Drosophila melanogaster: one gene and its partners. The protein of the gene in region 1 purifies or fractionates together with the protein of each later gene. This does not show direct contact. Each region holds a gene or a part of one and is shown in the gene's direction. Other genes may lie near its edges.

What was found.
Region 2: the proteins of CG18081 (region 1) and CG15522 purify together in Drosophila melanogaster (affinity purification with mass spectrometry, with the first as the bait; one large-scale study listed by BioGRID). This does not show direct contact.
Region 3: the proteins of CG18081 (region 1) and Nepl11 purify together in Drosophila melanogaster (affinity purification with mass spectrometry, with the first as the bait; one large-scale study listed by BioGRID). This does not show direct contact.

What each region holds. Positions count from the first base shown.
Region 1 is NT_037436.4:15,832,647-15,838,094, reverse strand, and holds CG18081 (uncharacterized protein), read left to right. Parts: upstream 1-2,818; 5' UTR 2,819-2,901; intron 2,902-3,211; exon of another isoform or gene 3,212-3,215; 5' UTR 3,216-3,217; coding exon 3,218-3,361; intron 3,362-3,643; coding exon 3,644-3,733; 3' UTR 3,734-4,300; downstream 4,301-5,448. Other genes in the region: meru, read left to right, coding at 1-257; CG15715 (uncharacterized protein), read left to right, coding at 1,172-1,315, 1,847-1,936; CG12713 (uncharacterized protein), read right to left, coding at 4,445-4,685, 4,751-5,239, 5,308-5,448.
Region 2 is NT_033777.3:29,924,943-29,930,346, forward strand, and holds CG15522 (uncharacterized protein), read left to right. Parts: upstream 1-2,312; 5' UTR 2,313-2,575; exon of another isoform or gene 2,576-2,855; intron 2,856-2,927; 5' UTR 2,928-3,052; coding exon 3,053-3,179; intron 3,180-3,238; coding exon 3,239-3,633; 3' UTR 3,634-3,824; downstream 3,825-5,404. Other genes in the region: Jon99Ci (jonah 99Ci), read right to left, coding at 357-912, 970-1,232; alpha-Man-Ic (alpha-Mannosidase class I c), read right to left, coding at 3,861-5,404.
Region 3 is NT_033777.3:4,290,838-4,297,274, reverse strand, and holds Nepl11 (Neprilysin-like 11), read left to right. Parts: upstream 1-2,434; 5' UTR 2,435-2,627; coding exon 2,628-3,522; intron 3,523-3,907; coding exon 3,908-4,791; 3' UTR 4,792-5,001; downstream 5,002-6,437. Other genes in the region: cpx (complexin), read right to left, coding at 1,456-1,707, 1,989-2,155.

The sequences.
Region 1 (5,448 bases):
ACATTATTAAAACTGAACACGAACTTCTCGAATTGAAAAATGAAATTAAACATGATATATCGCTGATTAATAACTTAAAGCGTCTGACGTTGGAGGAATCGGAGGCAGATGCCGCCTGTAAAAAAGGCGCAGCAAAAATAACACATCCCTTACAGGAAAATGAAAATACCCCTCAAGTTGCTAAAAATACGCAGGAAATGCAGTTTGTTGATAATATTTACGAGTTTTGCGATAATAATGCCAGTATGCTGGTGTAATTGCAATTATTTGTAACTTGTTAAGTTTTCTACCAAAATAAATATACATTTTGTATAAGCATTATAAATTAAGACTTTTTAATGGTTGTGTTTTTGAAAGACTTGTTAATGATTAATGATTTCAAATTACTTAATAATACAAGTTTTAAATAATTTTAAAACGGTAGTGTGTTTTTAGGGAACAAACTTATTGAACTATCTACTTTACTATTTCACTATCATAAACGTTCAATAACCATATGAATAATCTTAATCTTAAATTCTTAAAACTCCCAACTGTTAAAATGACAGTTTTTTTCGATTTATGCGTGAGTACCGTTAAGGGGTTTGAGTCAGGGTAAGTGTCAATCAAAGACTCAAACCCACATATGTTTCTGGACAAACATTTTGGATACATTTGAACTCTGGTCCCATTCAATCCTGGCAGAAAACAAAACCCATCAAATTAAAAGTATTTTAAGAAAAGTTGTCAATAATTTCGGGTAGCAAATCACTACTTACTTTACAACGAGTTTTGCTCAAATTCGAAGCTGCATCACCTGCATTTAGGACAGCCAAACAAATTTAATCGTCTTAATTAGGTAAGTTCAATGGTGGCTCGCAGAACGTGGTCGCAATCCACATTTTCAGTAGTGGTGGTGGTGATTTGTTGTTGCAGTACAGTAACGCAACGGATTTGATTAAAACATTATTAATATCTTATCGATAGACGTGCACAGATCCAGCAAAATCCTCTCTGGTGACTGGTAATTCCTGCTATTACTTTTTGAGTGGGTGGGGATAAAAAGTGAAAGCTACTGCGCTTCTGCCGCCTTTGTTGCAAATCCCGTTTGGGCCACAGATGATTAATGACCTTTTTGCAATCCACTCGTACTAACCCTTCTATTTGCATTCGAATTTGCATGCAGCAAGCAATGGCACGTGGACACCAGAAGATCCAGTCGCAGGCGAAGGCCTCCGAGAAGCAGGCCAAACTAAAGAAGCAACAAGGACACAGTGCCAACGACCAGAAGAAGGCGGCCCAAAAGGCACTTGTCTATGTGTGCGCCGTTTGCAAGGTGAGCCAGCTACAGTGAAGCCTCTGTAAAGCGAACAAACTAGAGTTTGAAAGTGCCTATTGCATTTCATCCAGAAGGTTAACTTCTGTATGATGGAGTTATTAGTCAACTCAAATAATAACAAAATGTAGTGCTCCTTAAAACTATCATAATCAGAAACACTTTTACTTGTGATATTGTTTTAACACTAGTTTCCGCTCTTACCCATGTTTTTGAGTGTATAAAAAAAAAGTATTTCAATTTATATGCACTTCCTACTTTATTAACATTAACTGCTTTTACTTGTTGTCGTAAGTAATTCAAATTAATTTAATTGAACATGAATATTTACCAATATCAAATGAATATGTTTGTCCAACGTTATCTTAAATTAAGTGATGACCAAGCACTGCTGATATTTGATTACTTTAAATGATAACATATTGATATACGATCACTGTTTTCAAGTTGCTATATTTGCACCCCTAGTTCCTTTATGTATGTGGATAACAATTTGGGTGAAAACCTAATCGAATCTCGCCTCCATTTCAGTCGCAAATGCCCGATCCCAAGACGTATAAACAGCACTTCGAGAACAAGCATCCCAAGAACGACATACCCGAGGAGCTGAAGGAGGTCTGATGATCGTTTCACTTTAAGCTGAACGAGATGGACGAGTTGCCTACCAGTACGAAACATTTGCAACAATAAATTTGCATCAGCCCTAAGAAGAAAGCCCACAATCAAGCCGAAGCCAAGAGGATGGATAATAGTCGTAATAATAATATACAAATGCCAGTTTTTTCGTATACACACTGCTGAATTTTGGTTTTGTTTTATACATTGAAATTAACACAGTATGCGATTGTTCGATGTGTGGCTAAACCAATACAAAGACACCTACCTACCTTAAAAAATGAATAGAAATTGTTTAATTTTGATATTTATTGCCTAAGCCACAGGAAGATATCTAAAACACCATAAATACTCTGAGCTCCGTTTTGGATTTTTGTTTACACGTGAAAGTTTTATACGAATTATGCCACAAATGAAAGAAAATAAATCTTTTTGTACTATAACTAATTTATGTAATTGACAATTTATAAATAAAAATGTTAAAATTATATAATTTGTTATAATATAATAATTTATTTAAATATTATTTTAGATGTGCTTTTAGTTTAAGATAAAAATAATACTTTTTCGGGGGAGTAGGTAATATTTTTAAATTACGAACATATAACAAATACTTTTTTATTTTATTACGAAAAATAAAAATGTTGAAATGCTTAAAAATTATACAAATAATTAGAAATAGGAAAATTTATTACGAGTACCGTTAAGTGGTTTAAGTCAGGATAGCTGTTAGTCCAAGACGCGAACCCACATATATTTATGCCCAAACATTTTGGATATAGTTCAGCTCTGGTCCCATTTAATCCTGGCAGCGAAACAAAACCCGACAAATTGATACAAATTTACGGTTAATCGTTAATAATTTCGGGTAAAAAATCAAAACAGTTTGTAACAACGAATTTTACGTAACTGCAAAGGCTGCATCACACCTGCATTTAGTACAGCCAACCAAATTTAATCGGGTTAATTAGGTAAGCAGCGGTGGATTCGCAAAAAGGGCGCAGAACGTGGTCGCAATCCACATTTTCACTTGTGGGCGTGCTTTGTTGTTGTTCGAGTACAGTGTCGTGTCAGATTTTCCAAAACATAAATAATTGGTATCTTAACTATAGTATACTGACCGGAAACTGTGCTTTCCGTTTGGTAATCCCAAGAGTCACCTATTCAGCTGTGTGGGAGAAAGTGAAAGTGACTGCGCTTCCGCCACCTTTGTTGCGAATCCCGTGAAGCACATAGACGGTACTACTACATATGCTAACTCATCCATTTCCACTTAAACAGCAAGAAATGGCACGTGGACACCAGAAGATCCAGTCGCAGGCGAAGGCCTCCGAGAAGCAGGCCAAACTAAAGAAGCAACAAGGACACAGTGCCAACGACCAGAAGAAGGCGGCCCAGAAGGCACTTGTCTATGTGTGCGCCGTTTGCAAGGTAAGCCAGCTACAGTGAAACCTCCCTAAGTCAGCAACTGCAGTGGGTTAATCAAATGGTTTTGAGACAGCTCGAAGAATCACGCAAGAACTCGCTTACTTTAACGTCGAGGTTTTAAAACGCAAATACTAAAGAAAATTTATCGCAAAACATTCGACATCTCAGGAGCTTTAAACTAAAGAATTCGATTCAGATGAATGTTATAGTAATGCCTTATTTTATATTTATTACTCGTACTTTGTGGTTTATTTGAAACCTAATCGAATCTCGTCTCCATTTCAGTCGCAAATGCCCGATCCGAAGACTTACAAGCAGCATTTCGAGAACAAGCATCCCAAGAATGACATGCCCGATGAGCTGAAGGAGGTCTGATGACCGATGTGGCTGCGTGCATATATAAATATATCAAGCTGATCGAAATCGACGAATTTCCTACCAGTACGAAACTTTTGAAACAATAACTTTACAACAGCCCCGACAAAACAAACATCAACATTTAAGTCGATGAGAGGAGGGCGCGTAAAGTTAGAACATAGTTTCCAAAGCTAAGGGCCCAGCTGAATTTTTTATATACACACTGCTGACTTTTGGTTTATACTTTGAAAATAACACATATGGCTACCACAACAATACAAAGAAAATTTACACATAGTAAAATAAATACTTTTGTTTTGATTTTTATTTTCCCTGAAAGGCAACTAGCAATTTGAGTAACAATAATTACTTGTGCTTTGTCTTTGATTTGGTCTATTATGAACAACGATGCTGACAATGTCGTAGTTTTGTATACGATTTTTTTACTAAAAAACCTTTGAATACATCATGTAAATGAGAATTTATAAATACAATAAAAACAGTATAATTGTTAAAACTAAAGAGAAAAGTTATTGCTGCAGAAGCATTGTCTAATCTTATGGTTAGTGTATAAATGCAAAGCATTCCTGTCTTTGATGGTTTCAATGCTACTTAACATTTGGCAACATCCCACTTAAAATTTAGGCTTTCTATGTACATTGTTTTAACAAGCACATTTCGTTCTATAGTTAAAAAGTATACATTAACGATTTCCCTGCACTTTCAGTTTCATGAAAGTTTTTTCAGTTCTTTGGTTGGACATTCAGCTACAATAGGTTGACTCCCGGAACTGCTGTCCTCTTTCGTTGTCGGAGTCTCAGCGGAGTATTCTTCATGCGCGAGTTGCATAAAAACCAAATCTTCTTTTGCCGGAAAATCAGCGAGTACTGTAATGCCAATGTTGTTATCCGGCAGCGCAGGCGTTTCCTCGTGGTACCCAAACCAATAGATTATCATTCCAGGACCAAAACTGACAATATATATATATATATATATGTAATTAGAATAGTTATAGAATGAATTCTTTCATATTACCGATTGCAGTAGCTTTGCAGCTGCTGTTGGATGTTCGACTTGTGTCCCTTGGTGTCCCCAAAATTGGCCTTGCTCTCGATCCAGTTGATCACAGAGCCTTTGTAAAGAAATGGCAGGATCATCTTGATGTCCGGCGTCTTGTCATATCCCATGCGTCGCAAATCTTTCTCGTCGTAGAAATGGATACCCGCCTCCTTAGCCAGATTCTTAAGCTTAAGCTCGTACTCCTCGCCAACTATGCGGCGTCGCAGGTCCGTTATGGATCCCTCTTGATTGTCGCTGACTATGCACTGCTGCACATTGGCCGCCAGCTTGGGATCGTCGATAAGATGCGGATGCCTAAGAAGCTGTGAGATGTGCGATCGATGCCGATCCTTGTACTTCTCCTGCAGCAACATCCTGCAGAGAGCCACCGGGTTCAGTGCTTCGGCACAAGCCATTCGGATCAGTAGGGCATTGTCGTAGTATAGGTTTTTCTGCTCCTCGTAGCTGAATCCAAGCAATTTGGATTATTATTGGTCATGGTGTCAGGAAAGAACACGAGATTGTGGCCTTACGCTTTGAGAAGCCTTTTCCCGCGCTGATCCTGCTTCCAGTGACCACGCGACCGGTTAAAAAGCTCCGACTGCAGGATGCATGTCAATGCCATTGGCTCCACGTCCCTGAAGAAGCGATTCCTCAACTCGAACTCGCAGTCG
Region 2 (5,404 bases), on another chromosome or scaffold:
ATTTAAATTCTGAATAATGTTTATTGAAAGTATTTACTACCAATTTCAAAAAAAAGTGTGATAAAATATTACTCATACGGCACATTGTACAGTTTTTGTTCTCAACAAGTTGATTTTTAGATTATCAAAAAATAAAACACTAATAGGTTAATATTACATAGGTAATGTATTAAATGGTATGTATTATGTAATATGTAATGTATTGATTATGTATTATTGGTAATTTTATCTCTAAACATGAATATGCCACTATCTTCCAAGAAATTAATAATACACAAAATATAACAGCATATGTTCTTCATTTATTTAAAACTTGTTTAAGCACCTTTTTGCTTTGAAATTAGTAAAGTTTTTTTTTAATAATAGATTCCAGTCTCCTCCTTTATCCATTCCAGGTACTTGGTGACCCTAGTGAAGCCAGCCGGTCCTCCAACCTGGCATCCGTAAGCGGAGACGAAGGAAGTGATTCCGATAAGCTTATCACCCTCCTTTGTGACCAGAGGACCACCAGAATCACCCTGGCAGGTGGCCTTTCCGTCCGGAGTTTCCACACAGATGGTGTTCTCGGAGGCGGTATCAGTTCCGTAGTAAGCCTGGCACTCCGCCACGGAGATCACTTTCAGATCCACCACTCGCAGATCCTCCACCACATTGCTGCCATCGTAAATGGCACCCCATCCGGCGGCCTGAACCCAATTGTTTTCGTAAGAGTTGTATCGGTCATCCAGGCTGGGAAGCTCTATTTTGTTGACCAGGCTGTAGAAGTCCACATGGGGAGTCTTGATCAGGGCCAAATCATGATCGAGTCCAACGTAGTGGGGATATCTGATGAAGTTCTCGCTGCTCACTGTGTGGCGGAAGGCAGGTTCGTTGTAGTTGACGGCACCATAGTACAGTGAAGCCTCATCAGCACTGCAATACGATGATTTATCAAAGAGCGTTAATTATTTGTGAAATCAAATAACTCACCCAGCGGTACAGTGGGCAGCAGTGAGCACCCAAGTGTGTCCGATTATGGATCCGCCGCACCACCACCAGTTTCCGTTGCTGTTCAAGCTCACACCCACGATGTAGGGAACCTGACCCTCGGACGCCAGGTTTCCGTTGGTAATACGACCCTCAATCCCTCCATGACGAATCTCCAGATCGCGTGGATGGACCAGCGAATGGGGCACAGTTAGGGCACTACAGACCCCAAGGAAGGCGAGCGACAAGAGTGTAAGACCCCTCATATTGAAAGACTAAAAGGCTCCCATGGTGGTCCCAATACTATATAGCTTAGCCATAATCACTATCGATGCTAATTCAAAGTGCGAAATCTTATCTCGCAGCACTTTTATCAACGAAAAAGTTTGATTTATACTAGCAGATACTCAAGACGAGTGTTTGGCAGTATGAATGAAGTGTTAGCAAAGGGAATAAGAGTGTTTTGAGTGCTTCAATCAATTCTGAGTGGATACAAGTTCAAGCAATTTAATTCATTTAATTTTATTAAATCATAAAGAATTATTAACCATGGTTAATAGTAAATGCCAGTCTGCTCCCTGATCCAAAAAGGGCTGCCAATATGGGTACGCAAGCCTTCATTTTGTATACTAAAATCTCCTGTTGGTCTCACACTTTTATATAGACCAATGAAGTCACTATCGATGCACATATAGAAGTGTACAAGCTTATCGTGCAATAAATTATTTTAATTTATGCCACCCAATGGATTAACTTAGTAATAGAGTGCGTTATGGGATTATGTACTTCAAGTTCAGAAAAGCAAAAGTTTATAATCGTACCTCAAAATATATATTCAAATTGTATGCAATGGTTGAGTTTATGCATAAATTCCCAGTAATATATGTCACAGCACAACAAGTGAAAATGTGCAAGCAAGGTGTCATGGGGGGGACTTCAAAGAACCCCAAGGAACAGAAATGGCAATCGAGGGTCATGTGATATCCTTGAAGTATTGCAGGGAATAGTGAAGCAGAAAAGAAAATACGATTATGGCAATCAAAAGGGAGGTCCACTTTCGGAACTACGGAGCAGCAGTATCACTCAAAGTGAGGCGATGGCTTGAAATCCGATATAGTTTCTGAGGAACGCCTCGGGCGGAGTGGGCGAAATGGCGGACCCATTCCTCATTAGGAAGCTACTGGGAATGCCTTTGTTTGCATTCTCCGAGCTTCCCCTTGACCGTCCTTCCGCCGACGTAGTGCCACGCTGAAATGTGCAACATATCGGGGCAGGAAACTCACCACACGGAACGGAAAACGGAGAACGGAGAGCTATTAAAGCCGACCCCCAACGAAGCGTGAGTCAGTTCCCGACTGGGCGTCCGGGCATTCAGACCGCTCGCAAGGATAACGCGCAAGGATCCGAGCGAACGCGACGAGTAAATAAAGCATAAATAATACAATTAAAAGTTGAGCGCGCTCCCTTCGCAAAGGACATTCCCACACTTGTAGCCCACTTCCTTCGGGCAGTGCAACACAAAAGTGCAGTCATTAATTAATTTAATGCATATGTACCCCATCCTGGCAGCACAAGAGTCGAGCCAAGCCGACGATATCCTATAAAGCGAGTGAGTGAAAAGTGTTCGACGAAGCGTTTAAAGGACCGCGCTGTTTGCCGTGTGCGATGCCCATAACAACGGGCTTCGCGATTGCCTTTTAAGGTGGGGCGATTAAGTCACGCTCCTCCGTATCAGCGGCATCGCCAGAACAGGAACTCGGGGCATTGACACTGCGGTTTTAGTGCTCAAACTAAAAATGTGAAAGGAGAACATTAAATCCTGACATGACATACCAAGAGGTGTTATATCATTCCAAGTTCCGCGCTCTTAAATCCTTGAACATATCGAAGTAATTAAGAAACTTACAGCTGTAACTCACAGATACAGTTTCTAATGTTTAATTACAAATTCCATGCTTTAGGCACTAGATACCACCGATAGCACCATGTTCCCACCCAGTTCTGAAGGACACATCCGAGTGTCTCGACGTGACTAGGCCAAGCAGGCCCCACAGATTATAATCCCCAAGGGGACCAGGTCATCAGGATGCACCAGGTACTCAGCTACGAGACGGCGGTGCGGGCCAACAGCTCTCGGGAGTTCCGCGAGTACGTTTCCAAGCGCACCTGTGCCTCCCTGGTGCTAACGATTGGCTTCTTCATGCTGATAACAGGTGAGTGCATTCACAGGACAGCGCCTAATGAGTCACTCTTGTGTGTCGTGGTTTCGCAGGATACTTGCTCGGTAATTTTGTGGCCGAGCGCAAGTACCACATTCGCCAGATGACGAAAGACGGCGGCAGGTCCGTGAAACTGAGCAGCGCCGAGTATGCCAGCCTGCAGGAGCTGCAATCATATCAGAAGGCCAAGGATCAGCTGTTGCTGGCCGCCCAGGAGCTGGACAAGCTGCAGCAGCAGGACGAGAGCGAGCGGTATCTGGCCACGTCGCTGAACACGGAGATCTTCAACAGGTACATATCCTGCACGCAGGATATACCGCCCAACACGAACATTGCGGCCAGTCAGTTCACGGAACAGCTGATCGACAACACGGTGGCCAGGCAGCGCCACTGCTTGATGATCATCCAGCGGGTCATCGACAACCACCTGGCCAACAGCCAGCTCTAGAGCTCTAGGGCGGATGCCAGCGATGGTTTAGCGGGCCAATGTTCGACATTTGACATTTATGTGTGTATGTGCTTTTAGGTGTGCTCAATGTGTGTGCTCCCAGCTAATTAGAAATTAGGTTTTGTAATTCATTGTGAAAGTATTAGATCACACAAGTTTTTTATACATGTCTGCATTAAAAGTTAAACTTTAAATAGATGCTAACTATTTTGGTAATTGGCTAATGTTTAGTTCGATGAGTTATGCTGACGATACATTGGGTTCACGCCCTTAATGGGCAGGAAATGGCCTGCACTGTTGAAGACCCACTGCTCCAGCGAAACCACGTCGTCGTCGGAGAAGAGCAGATACAAATACTTCAGAGTGGAGCCCAAGAAGAAGGACCCCTGCACGTCATCCGGTTCCGAAGTAACGTTGTTAACGTCCATCACTCCAGTATATCCGTAGGGCATTCGGCAGTACTTCTCTATCGCCTGCACCATCTCCAATCCCCACAAGCGGTACTGTGGATGATGGGTTATGCGCCACAGAACCAAGTAAGTTTCCGCGACTTCCGGCCGTAAATTGTAATAGTTCCTCTGGAGCGGCTCTATTTCCTGCTGGCTTTCCTCCGTGAAGGCAAACGTATCCGGACCCAACCGAGTGGGAGAACTCCAGTAGCTGTCGTGACAAGTATCTGTGAGGCCTATGCCAATATGGGCATACTTTTCCCAGTGCTTCATTTGGGTTTCTGCTGCTCCCAGGACAAAAAGCCCGCCGGCAAAGCAATCGGAGTGCCTCATACGATGGAAAAGAGTGCCATTCCTGAACGTGGACACGTAGGTCACGTCCTCGGGATTGATGACAACCAGATTTTGAGCCACAGCTAGCATGGCTTCTTTGAAGGTATCAGCATTTTGAGTATCAGTTCTCCCGGACTGAATCCATGACTTTAGCAGGGTATCATAAAGTCGGTGCATGGAGCAGTTGTAATTTTCCCACTTACCAAATTTTGTGCAATAGGCATTGGGATAAAGGCCATTGGGCCTGGTTGTTTTAGCTAATATCTCGCGGATAGCATCCACTCGCTCCCTGTACACCGGATATCCAGAGACTTCACTGAGATAGTAGAACTCCAGGTGCAGAGAGCCAAATTCAGAAGTGCGAGAGATATCACTTAGGTACTTCGTGAGGGTGCTGCCTTCTTTTGGGACCACTAGTCGTCTGGGTATACCAGTTGGCGTGTCGAAGGCAGGCAGGATCTTATCGGCAATATGGATGGCCTTGTCCATGTAGAGGGAATCCCCGGTGAGGGAATATAGAGTGAGCATGGGACACAGCAGCCTGGATGTCAGTTCATAAACGGACAACGCTTCATCAACCCGGTCCAAATGGAAGGATTTCTCTATCCAATCCCGAGAACGCCTCAACTCTTTGTTCAGACCCATCAAATGCAAAGTGTCCAAGCTCTCGATGATAGTGGCACCAAGCTTGTAGGTTGCGAAGTCGCCACCAAAATGGACACGACGGGAAATCGGACGAAACTCGTTGGTGCCCCAAACAACGCGAGCATAGTTTCGCCAGGCGTGCATCATCATCTCCTTTATCTTCGCCCGCATATCGTCAGGATTCATATCCTTCAATGAATTGTCATTCGATGGTATGTTCTTCTGAAAGGATTCTCTCATCATTGCACGGCACTGAATATATGTAATCACTATTACGCCGACTGTGAAAATTCCGGTAGCTATGATCCGAATTCTCGATTTGGTATTTGCCGTATACCAATTAT
Region 3 (6,437 bases), on another chromosome or scaffold:
AGCAATTACACGTAGAAAAGTCTTGATCAGTAGAGTTCGTTGGCATTAAGTATGTCACAGTATAAGAGTTTAGTTTTAGTTATATAGATGTTTAATAGATTGATAGAGAAATAAAGATAGGGTTATAGAATTCGGTGCGAAGAAATACACATACATATGCAGTATATGGGCATTATATATATTTTACATACGTATTATGCAGTATGTTAAGTACATATAGCACACATATTGAAGAGAAAGAGTAGACAACAGGGAAAACGTTTTGTAATTGTTTATCGTCCATTTATCGTATATATATTTTTTATTTGTTTTGGTTCAGTTACATTTATATAGTTATGAGTGTTCAGTTTTAAAATGCGGTTTAGCACACAAGCACAAGTTTTCTGTTAGTGATTATATTAATATGTAGAAAATAGGCGTTATTAGTACTGTAAAGTGCATAGAGAGTGATAATGATGTTCAAACAATATACGAAAAGAAAAACGTTGATATGTACTTGTTCCCCTAATGTGGTCTAATCTAAATCTTGTATTCGGTTTGAATTATGTGCTACTTTCATTGCTTATTTTTTCCAGTAGAGTTATTTTTATGCTGGATATATTAAAGATACATTTACAAAGAATAAGCGGCAGTGAAAAAAGAGCTAGAGCAGTCGAAAGTTGTAATTGTTGGTGATGTTGGGGGCTGAAGAATAGTTTTGGAATACAAATGTATTACAACAGTATTACCACACATAAGGAAAACAAACGTTTTTACCAATAATCGCACTTACCTTTTTCTAATTGATTGAATAACAAAACCTAAGCAGAATTCATCCGCCTGTTTACCCACAATTTATATTAAACAACAAATGCAATTACAGTTCAAGAAAAACATAAAAATTATTCATCCACTGTATGTTCAAATGCTGCCTAGATTTCTCGTGGTCATTCTCACGTACAAATGATTAAGCGTTACGAAACATAAGTTTGAAACCTGAATAAAATGAAGTATGTGAAATGGTGTGCACTCTTGTTATATAAAAATATAATTGACAATGTTTATATTCGTCGTTGCATCAAGATTGAAGATTAGATCTTAGACAGATAGGGTTGCAGTTAGGGTTAGTATTAGAGTTAGGTTTGTAGCTTAGATGTTTTACGCACATGGAAAAGAGTACATAAATATACATATATATAGAGAGATAGATAGTTCGGTTAGTGGGCAGTTATTTATAGACTTTTATTGGGTTGTTCGATTGCATTAAGATACGAGAGACACACAGATGCACAAACAAAACCACAATTACTACTTTCGAGCGCCGTGGGATATTTAGCGGATATTAAACGGTTTTTGTTGTGGTTTCAGTTTTTAAGTCAATTTGTATAGGTATTGTCTGGACCTGGCGGGACTCGCGTAAACCGCTGGCAAAGTAGTAAGAAACAAAAAATTTCGACAACTCAAAATCTGATACAGTTATAGAATAGGAGCAGGAGCAATCGGAGCGGAGAAATTAGTGGGTTGCAATTGCAGTATATAGATGCCACTAGCTGAGCCAGGTTCAACGGCACTTGACAGTGGCAGCAAAGACTTACTTGTAAAATCGTCGAGCTCTTCCTGCTCCGCTTCGGCGGCGAGTTCCTCGGGCGTCTTCTTTTTCCGCATCAGGGGATTGGGCTCTTCTTGGGGGGCCGCCTCCACGATCTCCTCCTTCTTCTTGATGTTGTACTGAATGGTTAATGTGGAGTCGATAGATCAATAGGTTGATTAGACCACTGGGCTTGGCTAGGAGTCTGGTATCTTAACAGCTAACACATTTTTAAGTGCTCCTCTGTTGTGTCGCTCCTTTGCAGCTCAATCTGACTCCGTTAGGGAGTCGCTCATTAAAGGACTCCCTACTAGAGTCAATTTGAGCTCCACCAGGACTGGTTCCGCCATGTCAGGGCATGGATTGCATACATGGATTTTTCACTGTGATTGCGAAGTTCCCAAAAACCCCGGACACTTACCTTATCGCGAATGTCTTGCCTCATCTTCTCGCGCTCCTCCTCCATTTTCCGGTGCTTTTCCTTTCGGCGGTCCTCGGCCTCCTTGATGGCCTCCTGACGCTCCCTCTCCTCCTCCTCTGCCTTTTCCTTGTCGTCGCCATCATCGCCTCCATCACCTCCTACAGCGCCTGTGTAAGTGACGAGGTATAAGATGTTTAGTATGAGATTTAACTTTGCGCTTAAAAGTTTTTGTAGAAATTGAGACAACTGGACTAAGTTTGTTTTTAATTTACTCAAAATCGGCCGTGACCAATTTTAGATTGAATCCAAACCCCGACATCTTGACACATATGATTAACGTACGCCTTTCAGCTTGGCTCGTTATCGCCTAGCGTGTTATCATTCCGAGTGATTTACATTTTTATTCCAGCACCACTGTCTCTGACAGGGAAAACAAATGGGAAACCGATTAGTTGGGATCTAGTGTGTCTAAGCCGCAGTCTGGAAGCAGAAGCACGGAAGTGGGCCGAGGTATTAAGAGCGACCTTTTGCTGTTCCGACCTCTAAGAAGAAAACAAGGCCCACTACCTCCGGCGCAAACGGCAAATGGCGTCGTGCTCATTTTGATTCGAGCGACTACAGCACCAGCACCCAGGAGAAATGATTTCAAAAGCACTGGCCGTCCTGTGGATAGCTGGCATCGCCTACGGCCAGGACGATCTGCTCAGGGTGGAAACCGAATTGTTGAGCTTCTCTCACAACCTAGAGCCGTATCTCGACACCAGCAAGCAGCCCTGCCAGGACTTCTACGGTTATGTCTGCTCGCACAGCGCCAACCTCAGCGAGACTGGCAGGCAGCGATTCCAAAGCTTGCTTAAGGAAACGGACGTGGCGCAGCTGATGGACATGGAACTCCAACTGATAAACTTCTTCAAGTCTTGCGAGAGCGGGCGTGGCGTAGAGGCGCTCAAGGGATCTCAATTGTATAGGCAGAGTGGGGGCTGGCCTAGCTTGGAACCGAACAAAGTCAATGCCAGTCAGCGGACTAACCAAACCCAAAGATGGCTGGGACTTCTTGGGTACTTCCACGAAGTGGGCGCGCCCTATTTCTTCGAGACGTCGGTCACCATGCAGTCCAACAAGCGACTTGTGGTACTGCAACCCGACGGCACGCGCCGAAACACTCTAAGAAAATTCGAGCAGCGGGTGGGCGAAGTCCTGCAAAGCTTCGGGATAGAACAGAGCCGCGCCCACGTGACCGCCCTCGAAGTGCTCAGCTTGGAGCGCAGTAGACGGGACATTGTAAAGGCGGATCACGTCGAGGATCAAGTGCAGTTTTCCTATGGAAACTTTAAGCGCATCGTCTTCGGAAACGCCTCGCTGATCAGACTGGACTGGGATGGCTACTTCCGCAAGTTGCTAGGCGGCAAAACGCCACAGGCCAGCGACACCATTGTAGTCAAACAACTGCCCAGACTGGTTGAGTACTTCGCGCTGCTCCAAAACACAAGCATGGTTCGACTTCTTAATTGGATATGGACGGACTACTTGATGGGTGAGTTTTTCCAGAATTTTCAAAATGACTACTATTCTATTCGTATTCAAATATACAGTCATTTTCCACTGTTGTTTGCTAACCCAAAAGTTTTCTAAAATATGTTAACAAAGAAAGGTCATGTTTATTCAATCGATAATTCAGAGATTCCTGATAAGCATCCTATAGAACTTAATTTTTTTTCAACTCATTCCGTTGAAATATTTTCGTAACGAATATTTGAGAGCATCTTTTAATGCGTTCTTTGACACCACAAAATGCACATTTCAAATGTGTTCAAACTTTTCCTATTAAAGCTATTTAGCTTAGCTTTAAAATAGGACTGAACTATTGAGGTTGAAAGTCATAAAAAACTCAATATTTAATTTGTTCATCCCTTTATTAGACATCGTAGATGCAGACTGCCACCAATTATCGGAAACCTACGCCGGGGACCTTTACGCCCACGTAGTGCAACGTGTTACGGCAAATCGAGTCGAACTGGCCCAAATGTACTCGGAGCTGGGAAAGGCCTACACAGACCAGCTAGGCGGCAGTGTGTGGATCGATGAGATCTCTAGGCAGAGCTCGAGACAGTTTTTGGGTAACATAATGCACACTACGCTGAATGGAGATGAGCGATTGGACGCGGCATACCACTCGATTTTGTTGGGTCGGCGGAGCCTCTACCGCAACCTGGAGAAGCTGCGCAAGTTTCAGCGCACGCGACGTTTGGCCTCCCATTCCGCCCAGCAGGTGCGTCGCTACGCCCAAATGTTCGCTCCAGTAAATGCGTTCCTAGGGCAGCACAATCTGAGCACGCCGCTCAACTACCTCCTACTGGGGGAGTTCTTTTCGCGAAGCCTTGTAGCCGCAGGTAGCAGCTCTCGTACGCAAGGAGCCTGGCGGAGCTCGGACTCCGAGAGGCGCTTTGCCATCTTCCAACAGTGCGTAGGTAAGCAGACGAACGCCATCGATCTGCTTCTGAGCCTGCTCGCCCAAAGGCAAGCGCTTAGTGCTTACGGTCAGTGGCTTGCCACCCAGGCGGGGCTAGTGGAGAGAGTCGACGCGGTTCTGGCCGCCGGTAGCTCGAAGATGTCCCTACAGAGGCTCTTTTTCGTTACCAGCCTGCTCGTCGACTGCCGCTCCGAGCTGGGCGCCCTGCAGCAGGACCGTAAGCGGCAGGTGACTCACGCCACACTGCGCAACTCGCCGGAGTTCCTGGAGGCCTTTAGGTGCCGTCCTGGAGATGTCCTCTACCCGCAGGACCAGCGCTGCAATCCTCTTTAGGGTCGGACCTTGAACTTTTAGCTGCTGTTGCCACCGGTGGTGTTAAAAATCAATAGGACGTGCCTACAACAACTGGAGGGCTTCTAAGGCAGCGACCAACCCCCAATTGATTGATTTTTCCCGTCACAATTTGCACAGTTTCATGGATCACCATATGCTTACGGAAACGTTACGTTACGTGAAAAATAAATGTTGTTCGCTTGGAAAGACTTACATGGAACAGAAGTTCGGTAAGAGTGACAGCGTTAGTGTGTTGTGGCGAGTTGAGTAGTAGTTTAGTAGGTTGGTTGAGTGGTGGCAGTGTGTTGTAGAAGGGGAAGAAGACGAATTCAGTGTGTCCGCCGCCGGAAATCGAACCGAAAGGCAGTGTTGGAAGGCAGACTGGACTTAGACTCGGTTTATGCTTCATACCAATGAAATTCATGATTTCAGGGCGCTCTGGACCGATGCTATCTGTCCGTCGTGGGGCCTTCTATCTTCGTTTCCGTCCCAAGTGGATGCAACCGTTGCCTAAGCCGACTCTGGCACTACTGGACTCGCTGTCAGTCAGGAGCTGCACCATCTCCGACCCACTGGCTCGGTCGCAGTGCCGACGTGGTCATCTTAATCGATTCGAAGCAGTTGCCCGAAGTGCAGTGCAAACGCGACCACCAGTTTCCGCGAACTGAGTGCAGAAAGAGGTCTTGACAGGCGGACAGGCGCACAAAACAGCGAACTTTAGCTACAGGAGTGCGAACCCGGAGTGGGAGTTCTGCTAGTCCTGCTCCGGCCTTTTATGTCATGGCGTGGCACGGGTTGCCTCTGCCGCGTCGCAGTCGAGGCAACCCAGCGCCTGCGCAGGTTCCAGCGGATTGAGTCCGGCTCGGATTCTGGCGGTACGCTGGTGCTGGCTGATTTGCTAGTAAGAGCAGCCTGGCATTTTCTCTGCCTGTTCTGATAACGAACCCTGTGGGGCGACAGAGACGCATTATCTCTGAGGGCGCAGAATCCGGCTTTCGACGCTCACTGCTCCTGAGCACATCTCGGGCCCATAGGGCGTATGGGTAATGTCGTCGGGGGATGACGAATGACCACAATCGGCTTTGCTCTCTGCGCGTCTATCTCTGTCTTGGTGGGTGCAAAAGGCATCGCACATTAAATTGAATTTATAGTCATCAATTTACTGAATAGCTTTGTGAATAAACTTTTTGTGGTGACTGTGACTTGATTTGCAGACGCATTTATTGTTTTCATAAATTAGTCAACGCATTTAAAAATAAAATTGATTTGAAAATGGTGTCAAATGGCCGAGCAGAAGCAGAAGGCAGGATTAGTTCGCTCTATGGGGTTCTGTATTTAGCTTGTCTTGCTTAGTGCGAGCCAATCACTCTAGTTCTGCCCATCTGCAAATACGACGGGGAATATGCCTGTTATGGACACAACGTGGTCCTGACAGCCGATGGCAAAAACCCTTTAAGCTCGACTCCAGTTGCACATTCTAGATGGCCCCTGAATAAGTGCACAATTCAATTAAAAACTAATCAAGCCTATTGTAATGCAGTTATCATGCCAACATAATTAACACCCCCGGAGCTAGACGCAGTGGCTTGGCATTCTTGGCCCTCCATTTTTCTCCACTTTCTATTGCTGCTCCCCACTAATGGAAA